Tamandua tetradactyla: one gene and its partner. The protein of the gene in region 1 purifies or fractionates together with the protein of each later gene. This does not show direct contact. Links are inferred from orthologs where the notes say so. Each region holds a gene or a part of one and is shown in the gene's direction. Other genes may lie near its edges. The genes, in order: NUP133 and NUP37.

Region 1 (10,090 bases):
GAAAAGACAAAAGAGAGAGGTATGGAGAAGAGTGTAGAAAGAAGGAAAGTCAGATATGATATATATAATACAAAAGGCAAAATGGTAGAGGAAAGTATTATCCAAACAGTAAAAACACTAAATGTTAATGGACTGAAATCCCCAATCAAAAGACATAGACTGGCAGAATGGATTAAAAAACAGGATCCTTCTATATGCTGTCTACAGGAAACACATCTTAGACCCAAAGATAAACATAGGTTGAAAGTGAAAGGTTGGGAAAAGACATTTCATGCAAATAACAACCAGAAAATAGCAGGAGTGGCTATACTAATATCCAACAAATTAGACTTCACATGTAAAACAGTTAAAAGAGACAAAGAAGGATACTATCTACTAATAAAAGGAACAATTAAACAACAAGACATAACAATCATAAATATTTATGCACTGAATCAGAATGCCCCAAAATACATGAGGAATACACTGCAATTACTGAAAAGGGAAATAGACACATCTACCATAATAGCTGGAGACTTCAATTCCCCACTCTCATCAATGGACAGAACATCTAGACAGAGGATCAATAAAGAAACAGAGAATTTGAATATTACAATAAATGAGCTAGACTTAACAGACATTTATAGGACATTACACCCCACAACAGCAGGATACACCTTTTTCTCAAGTGCTCATGGATCATTCTCAAAGATAGACCATATGCTGGGTCACAAAGCAAGTCTCAACAAATTTAAAAAGATTGAAATCATACACAACACTTTCTCAGATCATAAAGGAATGAAGTTGGAAATCAATAATAGGCAGAGTGCCAGAAAATTCACAAATACGTGGAGGCTCAACAACACACTCTTAAACAACCAGTGGGTCAAGGAAGAAATTAAAAGAGAAATTAGTAAATATCTCGAGGCGAATGAAAATGAAAACACAACATCTCAAAACCTATGGGACGCAGCAAAGGCAGTGCTAAGAGGGAAATTTATTGCCCTAAATGCCTATATCAGAAAAGAAGAAAAGGCAAAAATTCGGGAATTAAGTGTCCACTTGAAAGAACTGGAGAAAGAAAAGCAAACTAACCCCAAAGCAAGCAAAAGGAAAGAAATAACAAAGATTAGAGCAGAAATAAATGAAATTGAGAACATGAAAACAATAGAGAAAATCAATAAGACCAGAAGTTGGTTCTATGAGAAAATCAATAAGATTGACGGGCCCTTAGCAAGATTGACAAAAAGAAGAAGAGAGAGGACACAAATAAATAAGATCAGAAATGGAAGAGGAGACATAACCACTGACCTCACAGAAATAAAGGAGGTAATAACAGGATACTATGAACAACTTTATGCTAATAAATACAACAATGTAGATGAAATGGACAAGTTCCTAGAAAGGCATGAACAACCAATTTTGACTCAAGAAGAAATAGATGACCTCAACAAACCAATCACAAGTAAAGAAATTGAATCAGTCATTCAAAAGCTTCCCAAAAAGAAAAGTCCAGGACCAGATGGCTTCACATGTGAATTCTACCAAACATTCCAGAAAGAATTAGTACCAACTCTGCTCAAACTCTTCAAAATAATCGAAGCGGAGGGAAAGCTACCTAATTCATTCTATGAAGCCAACATCACCCTCATACCAAAACCAGGCAAAGATATTACAAAAAAAGAAAACTACAGACCGATCTCTCTAATGAATATAGATGCAAAAATCCTCAACAAAATTCTAGCAAATCGAATCCAGCAACACATTAAAAGAATTATACATCATGACCAAGTAGGATTCATCCCAGGTATGCAAGGATGGTTCAACATAAGAAAATCAATTAATGTAATACACCATATCAACAAATCAAAGCAGAAAAATCACATGATCATCTCAATTGATGCAGAGAAGGCATTTGACAAGATTCAACATCCTTTCGTGTTGAAAACACTTCAAAGGATAGGAATACAAGGGAACTTCCTTAATATGATAGAGGGAATATATGAAAAACCCACAGCTAATATCATCCTCAATGGGGAAAAATTGAAAACTTTACCCCTAAGATCAGGAACAAGACAAGGATGTCCACTATCACCACCATTATTCAACATCGTGTTGGAGGTTCTAGCCAGAGCAATTAGACAAGAAAAAGAAATACAAGGCATCAAAATTGGAAAGGAAGAAGTAAAACTATCACTGTTTGCAGACGATATGATACTATACGTCGAAAACCCGGAAAAATCCACAACAAAACTACTAGAGCTAATAAATGAGTACAGCAAAGTAGCAGGTTACAAGATTAACATTCAAAAATCTGTAGTGTTTCTATACACTAGCAATGAACAAGCTGAGGGGGATATCAAGAAACGAATTCCATTTATAATTGCAACTAAAAGAATAAAATACTTAGGAATAAATTTAACTAAAGAGACAAAAAACCTATATAAAGAAAACTACAAAAAACTGCTAAAAGAAATCACAGAAGACCTAAATAGATGGAAGGGCATACCGTGTTCATGGATTGGAAGACTAAATATAGTTAAGATGTCAATCCTACCTAAATTGATTTACAGATTCAATGCAATACCAATCAAAATCCCAACAACTTATTTTTCAGAAATAGAAAAACCAATAGGCAAATTTATCTGGAAGGGCAGGGTGCCCCGAATTGCTAAAAGTATCTTGAGGAAAAAAACCAAGCTGGAGGTCTCACGCTGCCTGACTTTAAGGCATATTATGAAGCCACAGTGATCAAAACAGCATGGTACTGGCATAAAGATAGATATATCGACCAATGGAATCGAATAGAGTGCTCAGATATAGACCCTCTCATCTATGGACATTTGATCTTTGATAAGGCAGTCAAGCCAACTCACCTGGGACAGAACAGTCTCTTCAATAAATGGTGCCTAGAGAACTGGATACCCATATGCAAAAGAATGAAAGAGGACCCGTATCTCACACCCTATACAAAAGTTAACTCAAAATGGATCAAAGATCTAAACATTAGGTCTAAGACCATAAAACAGTTAGAGGAAAATGTAGGGAGATATCTTATGAATCTTACAATTGGAGGCGGTTTTATGGACCTTAAACCTAAAGCAAGAGCACTGAAGAAAGAAATAAATAAATGGGAGCTCCTCAAAATTAAACACTTTTGTGCATCAAAGAACTTCATCAAGAAAGTAGAAAAACAGCCTACACAATGGGAGACAATATTTGGAAACGACATATCAGATAAAGGTCTAGTATCCAGAATTTATAAAGAGACTGTTCAACACAACAACAAAAAGACGGCCAATCCAATTACAAAATGGGAAAAAGACTTGAACAGACAGCTCTCAGAAGAGGAAATACAAATGGCCAAAAGGCACATGAAGAGATGCTCAATGTCCCTGGCCATTAGAGAAATGCAAATCAAAACCACAATAAGATATCATCTCACACCCACCAGAATGGCCATTATCAACAAAACAGAAAATGACAAGTGCTGGAGAGGATGCGGAGAAAGAGGCACACTTATCCACTGTTGGTGGGAATGTCAAATGGTGCAACCACTGTGGAAGGCAGTTTGGCGGTTCCTCAAAAAGCTGAATATAGAATTGCCATACGACCCAGCAATACCATTGCTAGGTATCTACTCAGAGGACTTAAGGGCAAAGACACAAACGGACATTTGCACACCAATGTTTATAGCAGCATTATTTACAATTGCAAAGGGATGGAAACAGCCAAAATGTCCATCAACAGACGAGTGGCTAAACAAACTGTGGTATATACATACGATAGAATATTATGCAGCTTGGAAGACAGAATAAACTTATGAAGCATGTAATAACATGGATGGACCTAGAGAACATTATGCTGAATGAGACTAGCCAAAAACTAAAGGACAAATACTGTATGGTCCCACTGATGTGAACCGACATTAGAGAATAAACTTGGAATATGTCATTGGTAACAGAGACCATCAGGAGTTAGAAATAGGGTAAGATAATGGGTAACTGGAGCTGAAGGGATACAGACTGTGCAACAGGACTGGATACAAAAACTCAAAAATGGACAGCACAATACTACCTAATTGTAATGTAATTATGTTAAAACACTGAATGAAGCTGCATCTGAGCTATAGTTTTTTTTGTTCTTTTTGTTTTGTTTTGTTTTTATATATATTTTTTGTATTTTTATTTTTATTTTTTTCTCTATATTATCATTTTATTTCTTTTTCTGTTGTCTTGCTATTTCTTTTTCTAAATCGATGCAAATGTACTAAGAAATGATGATCATACATCTATGTGATGATATTAAGAATTACTGATTGTATATGTAGAATGGAATGATTTCTAAATGTTGTGTTAGTTAATTTTTTTAATTAATGAAAAAAAAATAAAATAAAAATATTATGAATCTATATACAGACAGAAACCAAGGGGGCAAAGAAGAAAGGGATATCTAACTCTGTGGAAGTCTTTCCGGCGGCAGTAGCACTGAATGAAGACTTGATGTGTGGTTAGAGGCTTACCTAGCCAACAGGGGTAAGGAGAGAGGGAAGGCATGCCAAGTGAAAGGAATATGTGCAAATACATTGGAGGGGTGAGATGGAAACTCTTACGTATTTTTTTTTCCGGAAGGAATATGCACTGCAAGTGGAAAGGGAATGAAGTGGAGTCAGACGTACGAGCCAGCAAGAGTTAAATCACAAAGGACCTTGTAAAGGAGCTTGCCAAATTACCTGTGGGCAACAAATGGTCAGCTACTGAAGCAGTTTCATGCCCAAGAACAACATCCAATATACCTTATGTTGGGACCTATATCACATACCCTATAAAAGGCATATTCAAGTCTTAGTCTGTGCCCCCATGGGTGTGAACTCATTTGTAAATAGGACTTTTGAAGATATTATTAATTAAAGTCTGTACACATTTGTGAATAGGATCTTCGAAGATCCCTATTTAGATGAAGAAAAATTGAATCAGGGTGAGACTTACCCTGATGAGTCCATATAAGCAAAGGAAACTTGTATACAGTGGGTAGAGGAATCCAGAAGTCAGAAGATAGAAAACGAAGGAGATTGCCATTTGACAAAGGCAGATATGAAATTCAAGGAACCCCAAGGATTGCCACAAGCAGCACCGGAATACCACAAACAGTATCTGGGAGGAAGCATGGCCTATGGAGATCTCGATTTTGTATTTTTAGCATTAAAAACCATGAGACAATAAATACTCTGTTTAAGTTAACCCATTGTGTGGTATTTGTCATAGCAGTGCTAGCAAAGGAAGACACCTTAGTCCACTAATTTAGCAATGTGGAGGATGGAGTGGAGTAAGAGCAGGCAGAGGCAAAGAAACTCAAAAAGAGATTATTGCTATGGTCTAGGGAAAAGGTGAGTGCGTGAACAGGGCAGAGGTAGTGCAGCTGTGTGAGATGTGCTAGATGTACTCCAGAGCTACAAAGGACCAGGATGTTGTCGTGAAGATAAGTTTGAGGATGACTTTAGGATATAGCCCTTATTTTTACCTTGGACAACTGACCAGTTTACTAAGCTGGAAAATACATGATAGGAGGATGAGAGTCCTAAAAGAAAGCATGAATTCAGTTTTAACAAGTGAATAGTAAGGAGTCTGCAGGATATCCAGGTGAAAATGTCCACTATGAAGTTGACAGATGTCTTTGTTTTTTTTTTTAAATCAGGATCTGCCTTAGAAATATGTATTCGTGGCGTGAATAGTGTGGATGAGACAGTCCAAACAGAAAGAGAAATGACAAAATGGGAAAAGAACAAATAAAATATTGTGTGAAACCTGCGTTAGGTTTACCATCGCCCCTTTCCATTTCTCTGGCTCAGGAAAGATCAGAGGGAGAAGTGGCTTCGCGTCAAGCGGCTAGAGCGTCAACACCGCCTATGTGAGTCGGGAAGGCCCCCTGGTTTTCCAGCTTCATTTCCCTGGAAAGTCAAGACTACTGCTTGGACCAGAAGCTCCGGAGGCGCCAACCCCGCCCATTCTCCTCCAGCGGCTGCAGCTCCGCCCACGCCCCGCGGGTTGTGCGCTGGGCCTGACGTCATCACCGTGCGCTCTCGACCTTCAAGCTCCGCGCGCGCGCCGCGAGCCTGCGCCGCGAGTCTGCCCCTCGGCCGGGAAACCGCGCGCTCCGCCGTCACTCCCTCGCATCATGTTCCCGGGCGTCCCCTCCCCGCGGACCCCTGGTCCAGGGTCCCGAAGGGGCCCGCTCGGCGGAGTCGGGCCGGCCTCCACGCCCCGGGTGCTCAGCAGGAAGGGCCTGACCCTGGGGTCTGGAATGAGCTCTCCTGTGCTCTTCTCACCGGTCGGCCGGCGAAGCTCGCTGAGCTCACGGTAAGTGATTCCTCCCTCGTTGGGTCCGACGAGAGGCAGACTCAGAGGCTTCGGTAGGCCTAGTGGGGGAGTCTCCCGAAGCCTCTGGAAACGTTGGGAGGGAGGTGGGGGCGGGGGTGCCAAATTTTGGGGAAAATAAATATCCGCTACCCTTGCGGGTTATTCCAGCTTCACCTCGATTGACTCGTCATTTGAATCCTCGCTTTGCGCTTTTCGTGGGATTATCTTTGTGCGGAAAGAATCAACAAGCTGGATTTGAATCGGTGCCACTTCCCCTCTTCTTACCAACCCTGTAATGTAGAATAAGTCACTCGTGATTCTCCTCAACTGAAATGGCGCTAATACCTGACCTACAGTCAGTCTCCCTCACTAAGGCCAGAGGACTCGATAAGAAACGCCTGGATGCAGTTGTTAAGTGATGGTGGTAGTAAGGACCTCCTACCCTAGAACGTCATTATGTAATGCCGAACATACTAAGGCATTAGTATCTGCTGATTGGTAATTAAAGGACGTTTAGCTACAAAAGTTCCCTTTGTAGTTAAATTAACAGAGAAAAGACCTTCTACGGTGGGATAAGAATGGTAGTTTTGTAACCAATAAGAAGTGCGAAGCAGCAGTCCATATCACTGGTAAAAGTATGCCTCAACCCACCCATGTTCACAATACTCAGAACTTTAGAAGGTAGGTAACATCTGTTTCTGAGTAGTTTCCTCTGATCCACCCATCAAAAATGAGTTTTCCCTTGCGAGAAATAACGGTATTACTGTGCCTTAAACTTACAGTTATAATGTATTTATACAGTTTTGCAGTATTTTAAAGGAGAAATGAATTTGAAAGAATGCACTGTATCCTTGGCTTTTGCATTTTGAAGAGTGCTCTTAAAAGTGCTGATGCTCTTGTCAGTGTTTTATGTTCCTTTTGAGAGAAGTAAAAGAATAAAAGCCATAGTTTTCTTTTTCAATTCCTTACTATGGTTTTAAAATTTCTTACCTTCTGGTGGCCATTCAAAGAAAAACCTTGTTACAATACTTCTGTTAGGAAATACAGCTCTATATGTGTAACTCCTCGTTAAGTCCTCTTGATAAATTTGAGGGTAACTTTTATATGGTGGCTTTACATTATTATTCTGAATGTGAAGAAGAAAATGAGAAAGGAATGTAATGTCTACTTCTATACCTATTATTAAAGGCTAGGTTAGAGCAGATGGTCATGACTCTGTTTTCTTGTTTGGTTGCACAGAGCTGGTAGATTTCTTAGATTTCAAGAGCTGAACAAGAGCTTAAGTATGACCGACCCCTATGTTTGTAAATGTTTTCAACCATAACATGTGATTAAACTCTGAAATTTTATATGCTAGTTTTTCAAAAATGTTAAGACCCTCAAAATGACTTGCAGTTTGAGAAACACTTATCTAGCCCAATCTTGTTATTTTCTAGATAAGGAATCAGTTATAAAAAGAGGCATGCATTTACTAGAGTATGAGTCTAAAGCCAATTTTCCCCAAATCCCTCCATTTTCAATGAATGATATATTTAATCACACAAGTATACGTAGGTCAGTGTTCTTTCCACTGTCACCTCTCTTCTTGTGTAATAAAGATCTTTTTATTATGAAATTATATATACGAGGTATGATAATGAAAAATTTAAATTATGAGTGCTGTTACAATGTCTCTTTTCTTTAGAGGAACACCTACACGAATGTTCTTACACCACTCTGTAACTGAGACTATGAACTATGATGTGAAAACTTTTGGCTCTTCTCTCCCTGTGAAAGTTATGGAAGCCCTAACATTGGCTGAAGGTTGGTATCATCTTCCCATTTGCCTCAGTTAGCAATTCAAAATGGAATTTAGCCTTTAGGAAAATGCAGATCAAACCCATCCTAAAATAACACTTCATACTCTCTAGAAAGGCATTTATTAAGAAATGGAAAGTAGCATGTGAGGACTGTGAGAAATAGAAACTCTCCTACATTGTCGGTGGGAATATAAAATCAAGCAGCCTGTGGTAAACAGCTTGGCAGTGTCTCAAAAAGTTAAACATCCACTTCTAGGTATATGCCCCAAAAGAACTGAAAGCAGCACCTCAGATATTGGTACGCCAATGGAGATGGTGGCATTATTCACAATAACAAAAGGTATAAGGAACCCAAGTGCCCATCTACAGATGACTGGATAAACAAATGTGCTATATACATTCCTGTAAAAAGTGAAGTTTTGATATGTAGATGAACATGGGTGAATGTTAAAGACATGAAGGACAGATATATGATTTCATTTAAATGAAATAACTAGAATATGCAAATCCATTCATAGAGAAAGAACATCTGTATAGGTAGGGGGCATGTAATCAAGTTATTGCTTATTGGGTGCAAAGTTTCTGTTTGGGGTGATGGAAAAGTTTTGGTAGTGGATAATGGTAATGGTAGCACAACATTGTGAATGTAATTTAAGCCACTGAATTGTTAGATTTGCAAGTGGTTAAAATGGCAAATTTTATATTGTATATATCTTACCACAGTTTTTTTTGTTTTGTTTTAATTTTTTAAGATGGTTTTTTAAAAAATGATGCCTAGGGTTGGCATGTGGATTGAAATTTTTGCTTTCTCTAGTATACCTGAGAGATATACCTAAATGGGGAGATATAGTCAGCTTATTTGACTTTTCAGTATAATTGAGAAGTATCATAAATTTGAGAAGCTGGATGAGTTCATTCTAACACAATCAGATTAAGTCTTTATTAGTTTCAAGTGCTGCATATAGCAAAATTTAGCCCAATTTTAAAAGTTGGTAGATGTATTAGCTAGGGTTCTCTAGAGAAACAGAATCAGCAAGAGATATCCATAGATGTAAAATTTGTAAAAGCATCTCACATACCATGGGAATGTAGAATCCAAGGTCTGTAGGGCTGGCCGCAAGCTGGCAACTCTGACGAAGGTCCGCAGTGAACTCTCAGGAGAGGCTGACTGGGCAACTATGGGAATGAAAGGGTCAGACATCTGTAGGGCAGGCAGCAAGCTGGCAACTCCAGTGAAGGTCCTCACCGAACTCTCAGGAGAGGCTGGCTGGCTGAAGCAGGAAGATTGACTGTCTCTTCTGAATCCTCCTGAAAAGCCTTCTGGTTATTAGATTAGGCATCACTCATTGCCGAAGACGCTCCCTTTAGCAGATTACAAATGCAGTCAGCTGTGGATGCAGCCAACGTGATCACAGTTGAAGACCATGAAATGTCCTCATAGCAATAGACAGGCCAGTGCTTGCCCCACAAGACAACTGGGCACCACCACCTGGCCAAGTTGACACATGAACCTGACCATGACAGTGGGGTATATGAAATTTAAAAACAAACTGGGGGTGGACACTGGTGGCTCAGTAGCAGAATTCTCGCCTGCCATGCCAAAGACCTGGGTTCGATTCGCAGAGCCTGCCCATGTCAGAAACAAAGAAACAGACTGATGCTTCAAGTTTTTTGTTTTATTAATAGAGTAAAATTAAATTCTACCTCCATTTCTGGATCATATATAGGCCTGAGAGACTGTATGCACAGTTTCATGATGATACCTGTGTAGTGTATGTTTAGAAGATTCTGCTAACAGAATTAAAGTGGAAGTTTAGAAAATCCAGTCAATGCAGATTTCAGAGAGGCAATATTAATGAGGGATTGGGTGACAGGGGAAGTGCAAAGTTCAGAGAATCCTCAGTGATCTGCCTTAGTCATTCTTATTAAGGAGTCAATTCTAGATCTTTGAGATTT
Region 2 (9,512 bases), on another chromosome or scaffold:
CATACGGGATTAAAATAACTCATCAAAATGTCATTTTAAAATCTAGCCCCCCAAAATCATTGAAACCCTTTATAAATTCTCTTCCTTAGTCAAGCTGTTCTCTTTACCATCTTTAAATCATCATAATTTTGATCCCCCTGGAATGTTTTCTGAACTGACTTTTCTTTCTCCAGGAATAAATGCAAAAACGCCTTTCATTATCACTCCAACCTATATTCATTCTTCTCTCTTCTGAACACCTCTACCTCTGGAGCTACATAAGGACCATTTTGGAGAGACTAAAAAAAAAGACAGTTATTTGTTTCCCAGAGTCTGCCCATGCAAGAAAAAAAAAAAGACAGTTTCCAAAGCTTCAGTGCAGAGCAGAAGAATGAGAATTCTAAAGAATGGAGCCCAGAAGCTAGTATTTTTTTAAAGTGCCTCAAGTGATTCTTATTAACAACCTGGCTTGGGAACAACTAATCTATACCACAGAGTGTGAAACAAGTCCTAAGATACTTTGTGGTTAATTTAAATAAACATTTGTAATGTGTGCTTTCTAGAATTGCTTTTAGAGGAGAAGGGAAGTAATAATTTTTAACCATAATAGTTGCACATCTATCTTAAGACATTTATTATGTCAAATGTACATGCTCCATGTTAAACTGTACTTATGAAAGCCTTAATTTTTAAACAAATCATTTCAAATAAAATCTTAATATTTTGTGGCACACATATATATGCAGAGGGATTTGTGAAAATAGTATATCAATATTATCATAATATAACAAAGAAATTAATGTAATTAAGATTATTAAAATATGCAGTAGCCGAAACTTAATAAAAAAATAAATGAACCTAGTGGTTCAGCGCTAGAATGCTCATCTTTCATGCAGGAGACCAGGGTTCAATTCCCGGACTATGCAGCCCCTCAAAAAATACAAATAATAAATAAAGAAACAAAGAAACCTACACACAACTTACTAACCTGTTTGTTGTTCTCTGCCATGGAAAGCTGCAATATCAGGAGCATGGAGTCTGCACCACATACAGTAGTTCTCTCAGAGGTACAAAGGGTGTGCCAGTTCCTTCTAAACGCTTTAATCATGTTCAAGATAGACTTCTGATAATGCACAGCCATCCTCTTAAAGTAGAACAGAATACAATGTTGAAGTGTCTTATTTTAATTGGAAATTAATATCTAACATGTGCAAACAAGCAGAGTAAAAAAAGCAGTGAATGAGAGATCATCTCATATCTACCAAAATGGCTTTTAAATTTAAGAAAACAGAGTAATATAATTCCTGCCCAATCACATTTTCCTCTCATTTAATTTTCTTAAGCCAAATCATCTGAAATAATAATATCCAATCCTGCCTGAAAAGTCATCCAAAAAAGTACACAAATTTATAATGATAAAGCAAGTGAAACACAGCCTGATGGAGAAGTAACATGGAACTCCAGCCGACAACCAACATTAACTCACAAACACACAGTGACGTGATTATCCAGCTCCAGTCAACCTGCCAGACGAACTCGCCACATGAGCAATTCCAGGCAGGACCAGGAGAAGAACGACCTAGCTGAGCCCCATCTAAAGTACCGATCCACAGAATCACAAGCACACGAGCTGCTAAGTTTTGGGGCAGCTTTTTACACCAGCAACAGATCACAACACAATGGCTAATATTTAGGAGCTGTTACTTGATGCCAGGAATTTTTCAAAAGTTTAATATATTACCTCATGCAATTCTCACAAGAGGTGAGTACATTAGGCAGGTACTATTATCTTCATATTACATCTGACAAAATTGATGCCTCATGTCACCTGGCTAGAAAATAACTGAACCAGACCTAAACCCAAGATGCCTAATCCCATAAACTGTGTTCTTAAATCATTATATTGCATAAAAACCTCTGATACAGACAAAAGCCTTTCAAAATAATTAGATGCATTTCTAATGTTTTATATACCCAAGCCTATTGGACAGCTAATTTCTTTCATACCCAAGCCTATGAAACAGCTAATTCCTTTCTTTGATTAACAGACATGTGCTAACAGAGTTTTTCCTTCTTTCTTTACCAGTTTAAAATATATTCACATGTCCATCATCTCTTTTGGGTATGGTACTGTTCTCATCAATTTACTGACTTCTAAATCCCAGGCACCCTAGGTTTGCATGATCAAGAAAAAGAGCATATACCATTTACAAAATGATAGTTTAAATTATAGATATAACCAGTAACACAATTTAAAATACAGGTAAAAGACTTTATGTTAAAATAGCCACATAAATACAATCCCTCATAAATAGGTAGGAGTTATATTTCCCTTCAAAATATCACTCTCAGCTCTTAAAAAAAATGAGTGATGTAGGCCCCTCTCTCCAGCCAACCCAATGAGCAGTCTCACCACCCTACCACTCTCTAAGTGGGACATGATTCCCAGGGGTGTGGACCTTCCTGGCAACGTGGGGCAGAGATCTTGGAATGAACGGAGACTCAGCATCAAGGGATTGAGAAAAACCCTAGAATGAGCTGAGACAGCATCAAGCGATTGAGAAAACCTTCTCGACCAAAAGGGGGAAGAATGAAATGAGACAAAGTGTCAACGGCTAAGAGATTCCAAACAGAGTGGAGAGATTATCCTGGAGGGTTACTCTTATGCATCAAGTAGATATCATCTTGTTATTCAAGATGTAATGGAGAGGCTGGAGGGAACTGCCTGAAAATGTAGAGCTGTGTTCCAGTAGCCATGTTTCTTGAGGATGATTAAATAATGATACAGCTGTCACAATGTGACTGTGCGATTGTGTCTGATGCTCCTTTTATCTACCTTGTCAACAAAGGAGAACATATGGAATAAAAATAAATAATAGGGGGAATAAATGCTAAAATAAATTTAGTTTAAATGCTAGTGATCAATGACAGCAAGGGGTAAGGGGTATGGTATGTATAACTTTTTTTTCTGTTATCATTTTATTTCTTTTTCTGTTATCTTTTTATTTCTTTTTCTAAATCGATGCAAATGTTCTAAGAAATGATGAATATGCAACTAAGTGATGATATTGTGAATTACTGATTATGTATGTTGTTTTGTTTTTAATTAATAAATTTAAAAAAATGAGTGATGTAAAACTTCAGCTTCAATGATATGATCATTTTGCCTAAAATAAAACTTCAGCAGCAAATTAGTTACTGGCTTTAGAGATATTATGAGTCCCAATTGCTAAGAATGAAGATTCTTGTGGAACCAGACTCTTCTGGAACCTGGTTCCAGAACTTACTTGCTGTGAAATTTGGTCAAGTTAGGTCACCTCTCCCTGCTTCAATTTCCTCCTACTGAAAATGAAAATAATAGTTCGTACCTCATAGAGTTTTGTAAAGAGTAAATGACATATAAACAAGTAAAGCTTTAAAAGAACAGTGCCTGGCACAAATAAGAGCACATTAAAAGTGAAGTATTACATTATGAGTTTCTAAGTTGCTTTGAGTTAAAATTGAATGGACATTATTATTGGAGACAAAAAAAAAAAAAAAAAAAACAGTATTGTCCAGGAGTCAGGAGTTATTTGGAAAGGGCCAAGAGCAAAAATGTGAGGTTTGCAGGTCATGTGATCTTTGTCACAACTACTCAACTTGTCCTTGCAGTGTGAAAAGAGCCATGGACAATTCATAAATGAATAAGCATGGCTGTGCTCCAACAATACTGATTTACAGACAGTGTCCTTTGAATTTCATATCATTTTCATGTGTCAAAAAAATTATTCTTTTAGTTTCTTCCCAGCCATTTAAATACATAAAATCTATTGTTTACTCAAGTGGTAGCTGCACAAAAACAGGCAGTTCAGCCCATCTGCCCATCTCTTGTGAGCTTGGGTGACAGATTTACACCTGGCTGCACAGCGGAGATATCACCTAGAGAAGAGGCACAATACTCTCCTCACTTACTCACCTTCCTCGCACTTGAGAAGAGTCAATGAGGCACGGAATATGCAAACACTCTGAATGACAGGCTGCCCTACACAAAAACAGTAGAAGAAATTGGTGGCAATAATAAATACTTGCTTTAAAAAACTGGATTAAAGCTGCGCTGGAGGAAAAACTGTGGGGCAGGTGAATGTCACTGGGCGGTAGTGCGCGACGTCTGAAACAAGTACACGTTCGAGTCGGATAACCAGGTCCACCCCAGCAACTCCATCTATTAGCTGTACGTCCTACACTATGCAAGACCTCTGATGAGCCTCAATGTCTTAATCTGTGATCGGGGAGACAGTTCCTGGGTCGTAGTAAGGTCGTGAGACTTTGATGAGACAAGTACATGACCCAATGAATGCTACACTAAACAGGTCCTCGATAAGATACAGGGAAGCGTTGTCAGCAGTCAGGTGTTCCATGCTGTCTGGGGCGATGTGTATGGGGTAGCAAAACCGGAGTGGGAGCCCGCACGCCTCGTTTCCTCTAACTAGGGCCTAGCAGGTCCTTCTGGGCCTCCATCCCGCCCCTTCCAGTTCCCTCGGGGACACCCGACGTCCGTCCGCAGTCCTCAGAGCCAGCCAGGCGGCAGCGCCGAGGCCCGCACTTAGCACCGCACACGGTGAGGCGGTGCTCTGGTGTCACCGAAAGACCCCACAAGGTTCCGGCCCGGCCCACCAACGCTGGCAGGGAAGCGGGGAGACTCACCCGCGCGGGCTCCCGAGGCGAGGCCGCGCCTGCGCGCCGGCCCCCGGCCACGCCGGGATTACATTTCGAATCTCGCGGGAGGGCGCGGCAGCCAATCGCGGCGCTCGCCCTCCGAACCGGAAGCAGAGCCGGCGCGCGGCGGCCGCCCCGCCCCCGCGGAGGCCTGTTCGCTGCGGCCGCGCTTCGCCCGTCGGGTTGGTATCACGCGGCAGCGCCGAGGCAGCCGGCTTTGGGACGGGAGGTGTCTCCTCTGTCCTGGGCGTCCCATCTCTGTCCTCCGCGACCGCGGGCAGGGAAGGCGGGATCGGGTGCCGCGGGACTGGCCTGGGTGGGAGAGCGGCATCGAGGCTCTGTGCAGGGCCTTCTTCCCGGCTGCTCCAGGTGTGGAGGGGAGGGCCCAGCCCCGCGGGCGCTGCTGTAGGGCCACGGGGCCGGGATCGGAACGACTTTCCTGACCTCGAATCTTTTGCACCGCTGTTTCTGTGGGCGTCTCCCCTGCTGGTCACTCTTAACCATGCCAGCCCCGGGTGTCCACTCGTGAGTTTGCCAGCTGCTTCTCGGTCAATACTCATCAGGCCTTGGATGCGTTCATTTCTGGGTCCGGCTGTTTTCAGGAGCATAAAACTCTTATATCCAATTAAAAACAAACAAAAAAACCTAAAACCCGTAGTTCTCATTAGGGAATACTACTCTGTGGCCAGAATACACGTTAGGCCCGAACAGCTTTGTTGAGATTTTGTACTTGGCTTTATACCAGTGTATCAAGTTTTGGCACCCTTCGGGATCCGAGGATGCTTTGTATCTCCTTGTGTTAGAGCGCTTTTCATGCAGAATCATAACTATCCCTGAATGGTGACCGCCTTCAAGGCTGAGGCTGTTTTTCTTCACTTGCCCTAGTGTCCAAAATATAGTGAAGTCTTTCTGGCTCTGCTTGCTTATAAGCTTGGAAAGTTGTTGAACCTCCTAAAGCCTCAGTTTCTTCATCTGTGACGTGGAGACCACACATAGTATTTCCCTCTTCGGTTTGTGCAAATATTAAAAGTGGTAATGGCAGTAACGTGCTTTAACGTGGTGGCAACAAATAGTGCTCAGCTATTCTTTTTTTATAAATTTATTTAATATCAATCTGATTGTTTTTGCAAGTACTCAACATACGGCTTAGTCATACAGAATTTTATGGTGATTTCCTCTGCAAGTATTCACAAATATGGAAAGGAGAAAAGCTACGGAGCAAGTGTTCTACCATTAACTATTTTATCTAATTTTTTTCTGCTGCTTTGGTCCCTTGATAAGTACTTCAAATGTTTCATTCCTTTTGAGCTTTGTACCGCATTGCAATACCACATCCTTGCAATACTACATCCTTATTCTGATTCATTTACTGAAAGACATATTTAACTATTTCTAATTGAATCTATTTCTGCTGTAATTCACAGGTTGGTGACCTTGTCCCATAGAAGGCTGTTTTTTTTTTTCACAACTGCTTGAGTTTTGGCATACATGATGAAGCAAGATGCCACCACAAATGCTGCCTACACTGTGGATTGTGAAGATTATGTGCATGTGGTAGAATTTAATCCCTTTGAGAGTGGAGATTCAGGAAACCTAATTGCATATGGTGGCAATAATTACGTGGTAATTGGCACGTGTACATTTCAGGTTAGTTGCAAAGCTGCAATAAATGACAGTGAAGATACTTCACTTATAAACTTAAAAAACCAAAGGTAAATTTTGAAAGTATATTGAGTATTGCATTTGAACATTTAAAAAAAGAAAGATATGCAGAACCACAGAAAAAAACTTTCCCAGTAATATATGTCTGAGGTTGTATCAACATTGACCAAATAGAAAAAGAAGAGGGTGAGGCTCCTCTTTTGCCTCATTATTAGTTATAGCACATTATGATAATTGAAGGTTTTGCGAAGTTGAACATTGGTATGTTTAAAAAAAAATTAAATGGGATACAATTAATTACAATTTTTACTACCTTCCACTTTGTCATGAAACATTTTAGGCTAATATTAAAAGCCTAAAAACTGATTCTCTGGGAGATTTTATGGCTTTCATGAGATTCAACTTTTCTATTACTATGCTCTCCTACTTTTTATACATTTAAAGCGTGCATCTAGAGTATACAAAGTATGAGATCTTGTTACTTGAGCATACAATTCAGTATAGTCATTAAGAGCATGCTCCCTAGAGCTGGAATACCTAACTTTTCACTCCTACCCACTTAACCTCTGTGTGATCTTGACAAGGTACTTAACTTCTCATTTCTAAGAATGGGTTAAATAATACTTAATTGAGTTTTGGGAGGATTTCATGAGTCACTACATGTGACATTCCTAGATTGGCATCTGGCCAATTGTAAGCAACACACAGAGTCTAATTGTCATTGATTTGGGGCAGTGATGACACTTAGGTGCAGCCCTGTATTTTTCTCACAAAAATGTGCTACATGTGAGAGAGACTTTGATCAATGAGAGTTCAACACTCAGAATTTCTGGTTAATCCTTTGCTAGCAAAAATATTATTCAGAAAACCATTATTTCTCAAATTCTGATTAATCAATGACGTTAATTTAACAGGCACCAATTTTCAAAGATTTAAAGTAACTTTATCACTAAAGCCATTATAAACATTATTTCCTCTTCTACTCAGCAGCAAATTCAGTATCGTATAGTGTTGTGAAATAAAAAATGCAGTGTATCTTTTTACACTATTATACAGTAAATGTGTAAAGCTCTACAAAATTGGACTGGATTCGTATTTATCCTAAGGGGAAAATATAAAGTATAAATTAAAGATTTCAGTTTGTTGGTGTCTGAGTATAATATGAAAGCTCTTACATTATCCCATATTATTTGTTTGGGGTTGGGAGAGGAACTTCCAGATTTTAAATGGAATACAATCCTCAGCCAGACTTCAGCTGGATACTAGATTAGGAATCATATAATGTTGAGTAAGGTGATTGCTATAATGTACTCTTAAAAAAGGCCCAGGGTCCGCAGGCAGTGTTGGCTCATTGGCAGAATTCTTGCCTGCCATGCTGGAGACCCGGATTCAATTCCCAGAGCCTGTCCATGCCAAAACCAGAAAAAGGCCCAGGGGAAACCAGTTATCTAATGCAAGCCTCTAACCTACAAAAGAATAAAGTAGCCACCTACAGGTTAAACTTTATTTCATCACTTTTAAAGTTAACAGCTATGAACAAAGAATTATATTTAGAAATACTGAAAAGTATGCTTTTCTCTAGTTTATGAGTAATTGAGAAATGTTGGGGGAGAAAGTCAAAAAAGGGAGAGAGAATTTAGGAAAAGCAGAGATGATAGATGAGAGAGAAAATGGGAGGCAGAAGAAACAAATAAAACACCTTAACGTTTGTATGTATCCATTATGGTTTATGGTCATATACATTGTATTGATCCTCTGACTGTGAGACTGGCAAGGAAGGTCTTATCCCCAAATTCCCTAAGGAAGAAAACTGGGATTTTATTAATTTGGCAAGTAGTGAGCACAAATTATATTCTGTGTCAGGCACTCATGAACGTGGTTAAACAAGACTGTCTCTGCTCTCATGGAGTTTCCCTCCATCTTACTTCAAGGAAGTTCAGGGATTTGCATTACTAGTAAATGAAAATATAAGATCTAGATCCATCCTTAAAAATTTGTCATTTTTCTTCTGTGCTAATATTAAGAGAAGCCATCGTTCAAACTGTTCTAAAAGAGAATTCGTTCCAATAGTTTTCCCTTGGAGATTTAGGAATAAGTATTGCTTTCCTTTAATGTTTTATTTTGTTTTTTTGCCTAAACACCGTTACACATTTTTCCTAGTCTCTCATCTTTGAACCTTCAAGTTACATAGCACCCATATTCATGCCACTTGTCTTGGGAGACCTAAGTAAAGGTAACTCAAATGGAAAGATTTTCACATTCCTATCAGAAAGGTAGTTGTCATTCACCAGGACCAGTGAGTAGAATATACTTGGAAACAGATTTTTGGCTTAATGTTAGGAGTAATTTTCTAATGTCTCCAAATTGAATAAGCACCTCCAAGAAATAGCTGCTTCCTTCTCGTTTTAGGTGTTTGGAGAGGGTTTATTCAACTTTTGTTCAGATTTTCTACCAGAGACTCAAGCATTAGGTGAAAAGAGTTGAACTAAATTGACTTAACAGACTTGTCTAACTCTGAAATTCTGTTTTTGGCCATAAGTGGGTGTGGTGGGAGAGCCTGCCAATTTTAAATCCTTTGCTCTTCCATCAACCCAGCTTTGCCCCAACCTCAAATATGCTGAATCCTTATATTTGTATTATAGCAGTTTTCCAAAGTATCTTAATTTCCAGCCTATATAATATTGCCTACACCCAAACTAAACCCACAATAGCATTTGTCTCTTGCCTATACCACACACATACTGTGCCCTTTTAGTTGGCTCAACGGCAGATAATGCTGCCAGGAAAAAAACTTCACTGGTAATACGTAAAACTCAGGCTATACAGTCCCTGGGATTTCCTTATCCCTACTCACCATCACCTAATTATTTTATATATCTATAATTTGGGTAGTAGATTACAGTACCTAATTGTCACCACTATTATTGCAGTAGCAGAATAATGTGCTCTTGATATGAAAACTTTCTCAGGAAATTGATTTGTCAAGTATGGAAAAGTACCCCACATTACAAAGTAAGCTATTATTCAACTCCTAAACTTATTTTTAAATTGTTTAATGGCTGCCACTTTGGCAAATCTGGCTGCTATACAGTTTTTATACATACAAATTATGAAGTAATAAAATCTGACTTTGTTTTCCTTTCCTTGATAAATGTATTAATTACTTATCCATATAT

Evidence for each region.
Region 2: the proteins of NUP133 (region 1) and NUP37 purify together in Homo sapiens (affinity purification with mass spectrometry; 4 studies listed by BioGRID and IntAct, with this or other methods). This does not show direct contact. The link is inferred for Tamandua tetradactyla from reciprocal best matches to the Homo sapiens genes NUP133 and NUP37.

What each region holds. Positions count from the first base shown.
Region 1 is NC_135328.1:153,879,855-153,889,944, reverse strand, and holds the start of NUP133 (nuclear pore complex protein Nup133), read left to right. Parts: upstream 1-6,087; 5' UTR 6,088-6,153; coding exon 6,154-6,335; intron 6,336-8,019; coding exon 8,020-8,138; intron 8,139-10,090. UniProt on the Homo sapiens protein: Involved in poly(A)+ RNA transport. Involved in nephrogenesis.
Region 2 is NC_135333.1:172,273,339-172,282,850, reverse strand, and holds the start of NUP37 (nucleoporin Nup37), read left to right. Parts: upstream 1-4,767; 5' UTR 4,768-4,856; intron 4,857-4,862; exon of another isoform or gene 4,863-5,043; intron 5,044-6,098; 5' UTR 6,099-6,162; coding exon 6,163-6,321; intron 6,322-9,512. Other genes in the region: PARPBP (PCNA-interacting partner), read right to left, coding at 968-1,120. UniProt on the Homo sapiens protein: Component of the Nup107-160 subcomplex of the nuclear pore complex (NPC). The Nup107-160 subcomplex is required for the assembly of a functional NPC.